Linked DNA regions of Canis lupus familiaris. The protein of the gene in region 1 purifies or fractionates together with the protein of each later gene. This does not show direct contact. Links are inferred from orthologs where the notes say so. Each region holds a gene or a part of one and is shown in the gene's direction. Other genes may lie near its edges. The genes, in order: DRG1, LRRC41 and LARP7.

Region 1 (3,746 bases):
TTGGAATTGTTCTTACTTACAAATTTAAATAAATAAACTTCCCTCCCAGGGCTGAGTGGAGGCCAGCCCTGTGGGTTAAACCTAGCCTGCGGACTCCCAGTGGATCAATCAATCTATCAACAAGAATTCATTGATCCCACAGGAAGCCGCTTTCAAAAGCAGCACATAGCTCCTGAATATCCCGGCTTCCTCTTCACAAGACACTTGGGGAAGAGGATTCTTTTGAAATTTTAAATTTTATTATTACACAAGTAATACATAGATAACATTCATCTTTTAAGTAATTTAGAAGACACAGGTATGTAGAATAACAAGTGAAAAGTCTTTTTCCCTCTTTCCTTGCATTCCACCCCACTGTTGAGAGCCTGAGACTGTATGCTTTAATTCAGACCTTTAAACAATGCATTTTCATACGTGTACACCTATATAAACAACTCATTTTAAAAAATTTTTTATTTACTTATGATAGTCACACAGAGAGAGAGAGAAGCAGGCTCCATGCACCGGGAGCCTGACGTGGGATTCAATCCTGGGGACCCAGGATCGCGCCCTGGGCCAAAGGCAGGCGCCAAACCGCTGCGCCACCCAGGGATCCCTAAACAACTCATTTAAGAAATACATTAAGTGGGATCACAACGTAGGTGCATTTATTCTTTTGTAAGCAGTATGTCCTGACATCCTTCCAGTCAGACCACACAGATCTGCTTTAACGACTGCAATACTTTTTTTTTTTACAGCACACAGGTGCCATTTATTTATCCATTTCCCTACTGATGAGCCTTAACACAGCTTCAAATTTTTCAGTATTACAAGCTATGTTGCAAGCACTGGTTCTCGGGCAATTATCTAATCAATCACGCACTTACTGCAGGCTCACCATGTGCCACGCACTGTACTCAGGGCTGGGGATTAACAAAACAGACCCCTAAATATAGCTTTGAGTGACCGAAAGGGTGCATTTTCTTTTTTCAAGAGGGCCAGACAGGCTGAAGATCGGTCTCTCTTCAATCCAGGAGGCCGAGGAGTCCGCCGGGGGGTCTCCCCGGGTGTCAGAAGGGGGGGGCTCAGGACCCCTCGCTGCCGGCGGAGCCGAGTGGATCGCCTGAGAGCGCTTTCCGCTCCCGCCCCGCGCCCACGCCCCGGGTCGGAGGCTGCGGGTGCAGCTTGCAGTAACCAGAAACCGCTCCTCGCACACCACGAGCCGGGCGCCGGGCGCCGAGCAGTGCGTGGGCGCAGGTCCGGCGGGGCGGGGCCGAGCGGCGCGCGACCCTCCGCGCGCTCGGGGAGGTACAGACCCGGGCGGCCTCTCTGGCCCCCGCTCCCGCGGGCTCTATGACACCGCGCTGGCTCGCGGGACGGGGCGGGGTTGGCTGAGGGGGGAAGAGATCACTCCAAGCCGTACGTCTCGCGGTGAGCTGCGCCTTGAACTCTCTCGCGAGACGTAGGAAGTCCCGCGCTTGCGCGCTGCGGTAGCGCCTGCTGGCCTGGGCAGGTCCGCCGGCGTTTGTGTGAGGGGTGGTCATCTGTGCGGAGGCCGCTACGCTCCCCAGCGACCTCCCAGGGACTCGCCATCATGAGCAGCACCTTAGCGAAGATCGCGGAGATCGAAGCCGAGGTAATGGGCACAGCTGGCGCTTCACTCTCCCTCGGAGTGTTCTTTCTTAGGTAGCGTTGCTCTTGCCCGTACTTTGTTCAGCCGCGTCAGGACCGGGCCTGCGTTCTCCTACTCCCCTCAGCCGGGCGCCGAGCCCCCCGACTCCCCTCAGCCGGGGCCCGCGTTCCACACCCCTGCTGCTTGGTCAGTGCCCCGTTCTAGTGTTCGGCTCCTGTCCGAATATCGCTCTTCTCAGTCTTCTTTTCTGTGAGCAGCACAGCCCCCCCACCTCCTCCCTCCTCCAGCCCTGACCCGCTCTCGCACCCCAGTATCTTTCATCATCTCCCAGAACCCGTCCCCCTTTCCCCAATCTCTCTACTCGGTAGACCGCGTTTCCCAGAGTATTGCTCCTAGGAATGGATCTGGGATAACATCTGCGGTAGCCTGTTGATTCCACCTGAACCAGCTGTGCTTCTGTTGTCTGAAGCTCTCAGTTCTTTAAAATTTGGAGAGTGGTGACCTTGTCAGATGGAGCATACCACGTACAAGCGGTAGAGAAGGACTCCGCAGCCGAGTTTCACTCTGATTTGTGGATGTTAATTTCAGTGACCTTGGTTGGTCTGTCCCTTCTACTTTGGGCCTCAGTTGACCTCTTTGTAATGAGGGGAATGGGCTGGGTGATGAAGAGGGTGAATTTTGACTCCAACTCTGACTAAAATGGGTATATTGACCTCAGATAGGATCTAGAAAAAAAATCCTTCACAGTTGGGAGAGCATTCATTCTGGATATTTTACCCTGTAAGAACTGCTTCTGATTTATAACTGTGATTCCTCCCTTGCAGATGGCTCGGACTCAAAAGAACAAGGCCACAGCACACCACCTAGGGCTGCTTAAGGCTCGCCTTGCTAAGCTTCGTAGAGAACTCATTACCCCAAAAGGTGGTGGTGGTGGTGGGCCAGGAGAAGGTTTGTGTTTTTCTTCAATGTTGGTGTGTTTTTTTGATGTAATTTCTTTCAAAATAATACAGGTGTATGGTTTAAAAAGAACTTTAAGCTGTCATATAGAAAAGTGTAGATGTGTATTTTCTAATCCTAAATTCTTGAGTGTGTTTAATTCTGCTGGTTTCAAAGGCCAATGAATGTTGTCTAAGGGATGAACTAGGGTTTTATACTGTATTTTTTTTTTTTAAGTTTATGTTTTTTACACACAACGTGGATCACGAACTCAAGATCCTGAGATTGAGATTTACGTGCTCCTCCAACTGAGCCAGCCAGGCACCCTTGTGTATATCCCATGGTGATCCAAAATAGGTTTTCGTTGGTTTACAGGAATACATAAATACTGTATTCCTAGAGGAGGGCCACGAATTTGGCTTTGACGTTGTTTGAGGCCATTATTTAAAAAAACAAAAACAAAACAAAAACCCGGTCAGTCACACAGTTTTTTTTTTTGTTTTTTTTTTTAAAAGATTTTTAAATTTATTTATTCACGAGAGGCAGAGATATAGAGAAGTAGGCCCCCTGCAAGGATCCCAATGCGGGACTCGATCCCAGACTCTGAGACCAGGGCCTGAACCGAAAGCAGGCGCTCCACTGCTGAGCCACCTAGACATCCCTCCCACAGAGTTTGTAAGACAAAAAAGAAACCCATTTTTCTCTTATTTAATCTTTTAAAAGCTTTTATTTTTTACTTAAATTTGTTTTTAATTCTAGCATTGATTTAACATAGTGTTGTATTACTTACAGGTATACAGTATAGTGCACAATATAGTGATTCAACACTTTCACTTTTTTTTTTTTTTTAAAGATTTTATTTATTTGAGAAAGCGCGAGTAGGGAGGGCCAGAGGGAGAGGGAGAAGCAGACTCCTCACTGAATGCAGAGTAGGGTTCAATCCTGGGACTGCAGGATCATGACCTGAACTGAAGGCAGACACTCAATTGCCTGAGCCACTCAGGCACCCAGTGATTCAAGGATTCTATACATTACCCAATGCTCATCACAAGTGCTCTTAATCTCCTTCACCAGTTCACCTGTCTCCCCACTCACCTCTCTTCTAGTGACCATCTGTTTGTTCTCTATGTTTAAGAGTCTGATTTTTTTTTTCTCTTTTTGCTTTTGTTTCTTATATTCCAATTAGGAAGAAACTCAT
Region 2 (3,746 bases), on another chromosome or scaffold:
AGGGGCAGAGGGAGAGAGAGCAGACTCCCCACCAAGCAGGAAGCCTGTCGAAGCTGGATACCAACACCCTGGGATCATGACACAGCTGAAGGCAGACATCCAACCAACTGAACCACCTGGGCGCCCCAAAGACCTCAGTTTTCTTAATTTTAAAACTGACTCCTTGCTTTTTCTCATCTACTGCTGTGGTAGGAGTGCTGAACTTTCTGGTATACTTCCTGCTGAACATCCTGAGGCTGGTTCCATTTCATTCTGCTCCTCTTTCTGAAAATAATAAGACTAGGAAAAATCTTGGGATAAACTAGTTTCCATCTGTTTTGAACCCATAAACCTGGAACAGCTGCCCTGAAGGGACTAGAGAACAAAGGATAGGAAATGTGACTGGAAAACAAAGGTAGCTGGCTTCTGTAAAGCTGTGAAGCACTGTGACTAAGTCTTGGTTGGGTCAGAAACCATGCTGCTTGGGTTCAAGTCCTGGCTCCATGATTTCCCAGCTGTGGTCCTTAGAAAAGACATTTAACCTTTCTGTGCTAGTTTTTCATCTGTAAAATGACAATAAGAACAGTACCCAATACTCACCTTCTAGGACTAGTGTGTCGCTTAAACGGATTGGTACATATAAATAACTTGGAATAGTAAGCAGTCAAAAAATAATTATTAAATTGGCATTCTTACTCTGGCAAAGAGCTCCCTCTTCCATCAGCACAGAATTATGGGGCACATTCCTACACTGTCCCCAAATATATCTCCCACCTTCACCCCTACCGAAAAAAAGAAACCACCACTTCTTTACAGAAACTAGCATAAGGCCAGATCTTCGGAACCTGCACAGAAAATGTGGCAGGATTCTTGACCCGAGTGGAGAGAAGCACTAGCGCTGGTCAGCCTGCTCTCTAAACCTGCCAAACTAGGGTCTCGGAACACCTGACCGACTAAAAATAAAAATACAATTTTTACAAAAGTTTAGGCGACACAGCATTTCTTTGTCGTTACACCTTCACTGCATTCACAGACGGGGGAAACCAGGAGCTAGAGAAAGGCTAGTCATCTACTTGTCCAAGATGAATCGACAAATTCTGGGGAAGGGTCAAGGGAACCAGCAATCCGGACGGTGCAAACTCCAGGGGCGACTCCAGGGCCAACAGGGCCCGGTGGGTTTTGGCGGGCTAGGTGTTGAGCCTCCCTCCGGGCAGCGAAGAGGGTCGAGTCGGTCGCCCTGCCTTACCTCCTTGGGATCTCCGGACCCGGTCAGCATCTTTTGCTCGTCCTCCAGCCCCATGTCCCGCTACAGTTCTGAATTCAACACCAGCAGCAACAGCGGCACCTACTCCACTTCAGGATCAAGAAGGACTTGTAAGGGTCACTCGGCGGATATCCGGCGGTCTGGCCGGAAGTGCGGCAGACTCGTCGTAGTCGCGAACACACGCTCGGATTGGCATCTACTACCGTCCATACGCAGGGGATGGGGGGAGCTGGTATTTGCACCTGAGGAGGATTTGCTAAGAAATATCCCCTTCATGGCGCCGGGGCCAACTACGTCGATCTCCGAATTAATTTAAGATTTTGGCTCCTAAGAGACTTGGGAAGAATTCGGATTTATTCGGTGTTCCTTTAGCGCAGTTCCCAGTATTACCCACATCGCTGATGAAACCGTCCTAACTGCTGACCTTTTCAAGATGGCGGCCCGCGGGCGCCACTCTCGGGCTCGCGCACCTCCCCAAGATGGCGGCGCCCGAGGCCTGGCGCGCCCGGAGTTGCTGGTTCTGTGAGGTAGCGGCGGCAACGACCATGGAGGCCACGTCCCGGGAGGCGGCGCCAGCGAAGAGCTCGGCCTCGGGCCCCAGCGCTCCCCCCGCCCTGTTCGAGCTGTGCGGGCGGGCGGTGAGCGCCCATATGGGGGTTCTGGAGAGCGGGGTGTGGGGTAAGTCGCGGGGTGAGGGGCTACCTCTGGCAACGAGCGGAGGCGGCCCAGCGGCCGGGGGGCACGGGGGGCGAGGCCGGGAGGCCTGGGGCAAGGCCCAGCCCGGGGCACTAGAAGCCACACCGTCGGGTCGGAACATGAATTCCGTGACTGACCGGGCTGTGCAGAGTAAAGGCGGGGAGCAAATCGGCAGGTGGAGCCGCGCCGCGGCCTGGCTGGGGGGCGCGGGGGGCGAGGCCAGGAGGCCCGGTCTGGGGCCAGACGGGCAGGGCCCGGGCGGCAGAAGCTGGAATGACGGGCCGGCCGTGGGCACCGAACTGACGCTCGGGGCCAGCGGGGCTGCGGAGTCTCGGATGCCGAACCGACGGCCAGGGATGGCCCTGCCGCTCGGGGGCGGGGGCCGAGGTTGGGAGTCCCGGCCTAGGGCGAGGAGGCCAGGCCCCGGGCCACCTAGCCTGACTGACGCGCGGGGCCTCCCGCGTCTGCTTGACAGACCGCGGGTGCCGAGCCTCGGGAGGGCAGGCTGATGGGCGAAGGCAGCCCGGAGGATGGGCGAGCGAGGGGCCGGGGAGAGGCCAGAAGGCTTGGAGCGCCGCGGCCTGTCCGACGACCCAGGCTTGAAGGGAGCGCACTGACGACCGGGGCCTCGGGTGCCAAACTGCTTGAGCGCCCGACTGACGGGCAGAGCAGCGAGCGCCGGAGGCCACTCGGATGGGCCTGCGCGGAGGAAGGGCCCCGAGCGGGGAAGGGAGGCCGGAGCGGGTCCAGCAATCGAGGGAGGCTCGAATGAAGGACAGGCGGGAAGGGCCAGGGAGGCCCCCCCGATCCCGGCGAGGAGGGGGCGCGTCGCGGCGAGGAAGCCTTGGGCTGAGTGGGAGCGACAGGAGGCCCCGGCCTGAGCTGCCGGGACGGTCGGGCCGGGGCTGAGCGGCAGAGGCGGGCCCGCGGCGCTGGGCGGAGGGGCCCGGCGGGACAAACTGACGGGTCGGGCCGGGCCGGTGGGCCTGGGAGTAGGGCGGGCGGCGCCGGCCAGGTAGCGCCGGAGAGGAGGCCCGCAGCCGACGGGCACGCGGAGGCCGGGCTTTGGGGTGGGCGCCCCTGGACCCAGACTGGCAGCTGATGAGAAAAACTCGAGTTGGCCTTGTGAACCCTGATGGTGAGAGTGAAAGAGGAGAGCGAAGGCTCTGGGTGGGGAGGGGAGGGGGGGTAGGCCTGCCCGCACAGGGGATGAGGGCTGAGGGCGGCCTTGGGCCTGACAGACTGGTGGTGGAGGGGGTGGGGTCCGAAGTTGGGTGAGGAGATCCAGGCCAGGCCTAGGGCCCAGAGAAGGGGGAAGGAGTGGCAGGAGAGGAGGCCTCAGGCCGTGAGGGGGTGGGGTTCTGAAGAAGGCCTCGGGAGTGGTGGTAGTGTCTTGCCAGGAGGAAGGCCCTGGTAAGGTCAGGTTGAGGGCTTGAGATCCTGGGATTGGGGGCATTGGGGGGGTTGCACCTGGGGAGGTGGCTGTGAAGAAAAGGCCCTGGAGTTTGGGGGGTTGGGCCTCCAGGAATAAGCCCGGAGACTCTGGAGACTGGCTAAAGAAGGCCCAGGGATGCGGGAAGGCCCTTGGTGAGGTGGGGGTGGGGCGCTGGTCCTAAAGAGGCCCAAGTGTCTTCCTGTAGTGGGAAAGACTGTTAGAAGTCCTCAAGCTGGTAGGGGGAGGGGATTGTGGAGGCCCTATGCCAACAGCTGAGAGAAGAAGGGTCAGACTGACCCATGGGGAATAGGAGAAGCCTCAGTGGAGCTGGGCAGGGGGCTCTGGAAAGTCCTGGGAAGTGGAAGAAGGCAG
Region 3 (3,746 bases), on another chromosome or scaffold:
GTTAAGACAATGAATAGTGAGTGAGAGAGAAGATTGAAAAAAATGAGCAATAGGAGTCAGAGGGCCTTCTATGCTATGCCAAGTTGTTTGAATTTTCTATAAAGGGAGTGCAAATGGTAGGGTTTTAAGAATAAGATTACATAATCTAACTTGGGTTTTACAAAGATCGCTCTGGTTGCTGATAGGAGGCATAAGGGAGGGTAGCCCTGGTGGCGCAGCGGTTTAGCGCTGCCTGCAGCCTGGGGTGTGATCCTGGAGACCTGGGGTCGAGTCCCACGTTGGGCTCCCTGCAAGGGGCTTGCTTCTCCCTCTGCCTGCATCTCTGCCTCTCTCTCTGTGTGCTCTCATGAATAAATAAATAAAATCTTTAAAAAATAAAATACTAAAATCTTTAGAAGAGGCCTAAGTCCTACGTTCAAAGGAGTAAAAAAAAAAAAAAACAAAGGAGTTAAAATACCGTTTACCGTTAAATAGTTGAAATGGTATCAGCTAACAACATGGCATTTAAGTGAAAAGTAAAAACAAAAAAGAAAAAAAGAAAAAATCTGGGGACGCCTGAGTGGTTCAGCCCTTGAGTAGACCTCGGCCTCCCGCTCAGGGCGTGATCCCGGATCCAGTCCCGCGTCGGGCTCCCTGCATGGAGCCTGCTTCTCCCTCTGCCCGTGTCTCTCTCTGCCTCTCTCTCTCTCTCTCTCTCTGTGTGTGTCTCTCATGAATAAATAAATAAAATCTTTAAGAAAAATTTTTTTTCTAAAAATCATCTACGTCAAATGTTGACCCACCTCCAACGGGTAAAAGTTCAACGTGCAAAGTTTTAAAAGCGGTAGGGATACCTCAGATGTCTGCAATAATTATATAACCACAGATGTGCACATTACCTCCCCAAAGACATTACCCATACGTCCCTATGCTGCTTTATACATTCATATATAAAATTCTGTGTTCTCCATAAAATATGAACCAGTCTTATTTATGTTTAAGTACGAGGAGATGTTTTTGGTCTTTTTATTTTGGAACAAGCAAGATCTTTAGAATCCCTAAATAGTTCAGATTTAAAAGTTCCAGAGTCTCAAACCCAGTATCCTGTTAAGAAGTCGCTCAGTCCAAATGACCCAGAGAAGCCCACATTTCATTGCCAAGATAATAATTACCATGATTCTGTGTAACCGAATGGCAGTGAGACTTGACCCTCTGTCAGGCCTAGATAAACACAAAGAGCAAAACTCTCTCTGGTCCTTACACTTATTGCCGGAAGTGCAACGCAGAGGCTGGAAAGGCTGTCACTCCCCACACCTGGTTCCAAACAGCACCAGCAACGGCTCGCTTCCGGCGCAATAGAGCCTCTCAACACTTTGCCCTAAATTGCGACGCCGCCTCTCGTTCACATCCCCTTTCCTATCCACCTTCACTCCCAGAGAAGCAGAGGACTTCACCGGTCCGTAAAACACACGTTCGAATTTCTCCCGCGGAAGGCTGTGACGTCATCAACCCGGGACCGCACGGGATCAGGACCCACTACTCAGCCCGCCCACAAGTACCGACGTTTGCAAACCGCCAATCAAAACTTCTCGTGGTCTGTGAGCCTCCTCGGCCAGCCGGGTAACCCGACGCCCCGCCCCTTGCGCCAGCTCACGCCCGTGACGCAAGCGCCGGGCGCGCCGTCTCCGTCCTCGCGCTCGCCTTTTCGGAGGCGTACGGGAGAACCGTGTCGCCCACCCTATGACGCGGAAACCAGCTCTATAAGGATCTGGAGACGGAAAGGTTGGAGGACGAAATCACCGGCCCAGTATTTTGGGAACTGGACAGAGTAAGTTGGAAGTAAACTGTAGATCGTGTCGCTCAGGTTGAGTGAGGCTTCAAGTCTTCTAAGTCCTTTGTCACGCGCTCCATTCTATCATCTGTCGGCCCTTTCACTTCGTCCCCTCCCACAAGCCCATCGGTTTGCTCGTCCTGTTCCTCTGCGCACGCGCAAAGGTCCTTCAGCGGCCCTTGTAGTTCCAGTTTTCGGAGATTGGGGGCGCATATCGTCCGGCTTTAGGAGATCGGGGGCCCGCCCGGTATTGGGCAGCGTACTTGGGAAAGGACTGGTGTCGACGGGGGGCCGTAGCCAGAGGTGAAATCGCCGGGCCTCGTAGATGTGAGCGTTGGCGGCCAAACGATAGCGAGTGTGAGCACTTAAGTTTTTAAAGTTAAGTCACTTTCTTATTTTCGGGATTCTAGTTTTTGTCATCAGAGAATCGAAAAATCCAGTTACGGAAGGGAGCTAACAAATTATAAATGTCAGTGGAGTGTACTGAATGCGTTAATAAATGTGCTTGAGGGAAAATAGATGAGGAGGCAATAAATTAGGGGAGACGTGGTGGTGGAAAGCTGGAGAGAGTAAGATGCCATTTAACGTGGGCCTTGAAAATTGAATAGGAGTTTATAAGGCAAGTAAAGACAAGACTAATTGAAAGAACAGGCACGGTGTTCTGGTACCGTTGAATGGTCAGCCATGGTAGAACAATGACTTAACGTTTTTGACACCGTTTCCTCTAAAAATGGTAAAGGCTATGGATGAGCATCCTAGGAAGATGCATGCACGTCAAGACATTTTACGTATGATTTTGCTGGGAAATTGTGGAACACCTTGAAATGGCCAAGAAAAAAGATACTGGATGTCTTCTCTAGCTGGCTCTTCCAGGTTCTCTCTTTCATTATCATTGAGCTATTTTACATTTGTGTTAGTTGTAGGAAACGATTATAATGGAACTTAAGTCTTGTAGTTAATCAATTTTGTAGTTATGGCCCTAACCAGTTTTGCATCTATTAACAAATTCATTTCAGTGTTCCTGATTGCTTAGATCTTTTAATTCTCCTTTGAACTAGTTTTTTAATAGAATATTTTAAAATTTATTATTTATTTACTCTATTTTAAGTAGACCCCATGCCCAATATGGGCCTTGAACTCTCAACCCCGGGATTGAGTCGCGTGTTCTACTGACTGAGCCAGCCAAGTGTCCCCTCCAGAACTAGTTCTTTTGTTTTGTTTTTTTTTTTAAGATTTTATTTATTCATGAGAGACACGGTGAGAGAGGAAGAGACAGAGGGAGCAGGCTCCTTGCCGGGAGCCGAATGCGGGACTCCACCCCCAGACCCTGGATCACACCCTGAGCCAAAGGCAGAAGGCAGATGCTGAACCGTTGAGCCACCTAGGTGTCCCCTGAACTAGTTTTTTAACACTTAACTAATTCCTTGATTAATTTCACTAAAATAAAATATTTGATACGTATTCATTTTATGTTAATTTATATTTAAATTCCTTTGTTTAAAATTTCTCTTTTGGGGCACCTGGGTGGCTCAGCGGTTGAGCGTTTGCCTTTGGCTCAGGTGGTAACACCGGGTTCCTCAGAATGAGTCCCGGGTCGGTCTCCCCACAGGGAGTCTGCTTCTTCCTCTGCCTCTCTCTGTGTTTCTCATGAATAAATACATAAAATCTAAAATAATAATAATAATAAAATTTATCTTTCATCAATTTCACAGAATTCATAGGAATGTTTGAAACTCACCCAAAATTCCATAGACTTTAGGTTAAGAATATCTGGGTCAGAATACAGAATGTATCATGACAGGCTGTAAGAGGTTCTACTAAAAGGTGGGCAGTGTAAGGGAGTCAGACTTACCAGAGCTTGTTCACTTAACTGAGCATGTTTACCCAGCTGATTTTGGCCAATTCACTTAATTTTTAAGCCTCTGTAAAAAAGAAT

Evidence for each region.
Region 2: the proteins of DRG1 (region 1) and LRRC41 purify together in Homo sapiens (affinity purification with mass spectrometry; 3 studies listed by BioGRID and IntAct, counting the BioPlex papers as one, with this or other methods). This does not show direct contact. The link is inferred for Canis lupus familiaris from reciprocal best matches to the Homo sapiens genes DRG1 and LRRC41.
Region 3: the proteins of DRG1 (region 1) and LARP7 purify together in Homo sapiens (affinity purification with mass spectrometry; 3 studies listed by BioGRID and IntAct, with this or other methods). This does not show direct contact. The link is inferred for Canis lupus familiaris from reciprocal best matches to the Homo sapiens genes DRG1 and LARP7.

What each region holds. Positions count from the first base shown.
Region 1 is NC_049247.1:24,736,069-24,739,814, forward strand, and holds the start of DRG1 (developmentally-regulated GTP-binding protein 1), read left to right. Parts: upstream 1-1,449; 5' UTR 1,450-1,573; coding exon 1,574-1,615; intron 1,616-2,436; coding exon 2,437-2,560; intron 2,561-3,746. UniProt on the Homo sapiens protein: Catalyzes the conversion of GTP to GDP through hydrolysis of the gamma-phosphate bond in GTP. Appears to have an intrinsic GTPase activity that is stimulated by ZC3H15/DFRP1 binding likely by increasing the affinity for the potassium ions.
Region 2 is NC_049236.1:14,183,445-14,187,190, forward strand, and holds the start of LRRC41 (leucine-rich repeat-containing protein 41), read left to right. Parts: upstream 1-1,440; 5' UTR 1,441-1,722; coding exon 1,723-1,921; intron 1,922-3,580; exon of another isoform or gene 3,581-3,746. Other genes in the region: UQCRH (cytochrome b-c1 complex subunit 6, mitochondrial), read right to left, coding at 1,226-1,279. UniProt on the Homo sapiens protein: Probable substrate recognition component of an ECS (Elongin BC-CUL2/5-SOCS-box protein) E3 ubiquitin ligase complex which mediates the ubiquitination and subsequent proteasomal degradation of target proteins.
Region 3 is NC_049253.1:7,466,437-7,470,182, reverse strand, and holds the start of LARP7 (la-related protein 7), read left to right. Parts: upstream 1-1,629; 5' UTR 1,630-1,807; intron 1,808-1,980; exon of another isoform or gene 1,981-2,189; intron 2,190-3,746. UniProt on the Homo sapiens protein: RNA-binding protein that specifically binds distinct small nuclear RNA (snRNAs) and regulates their processing and function.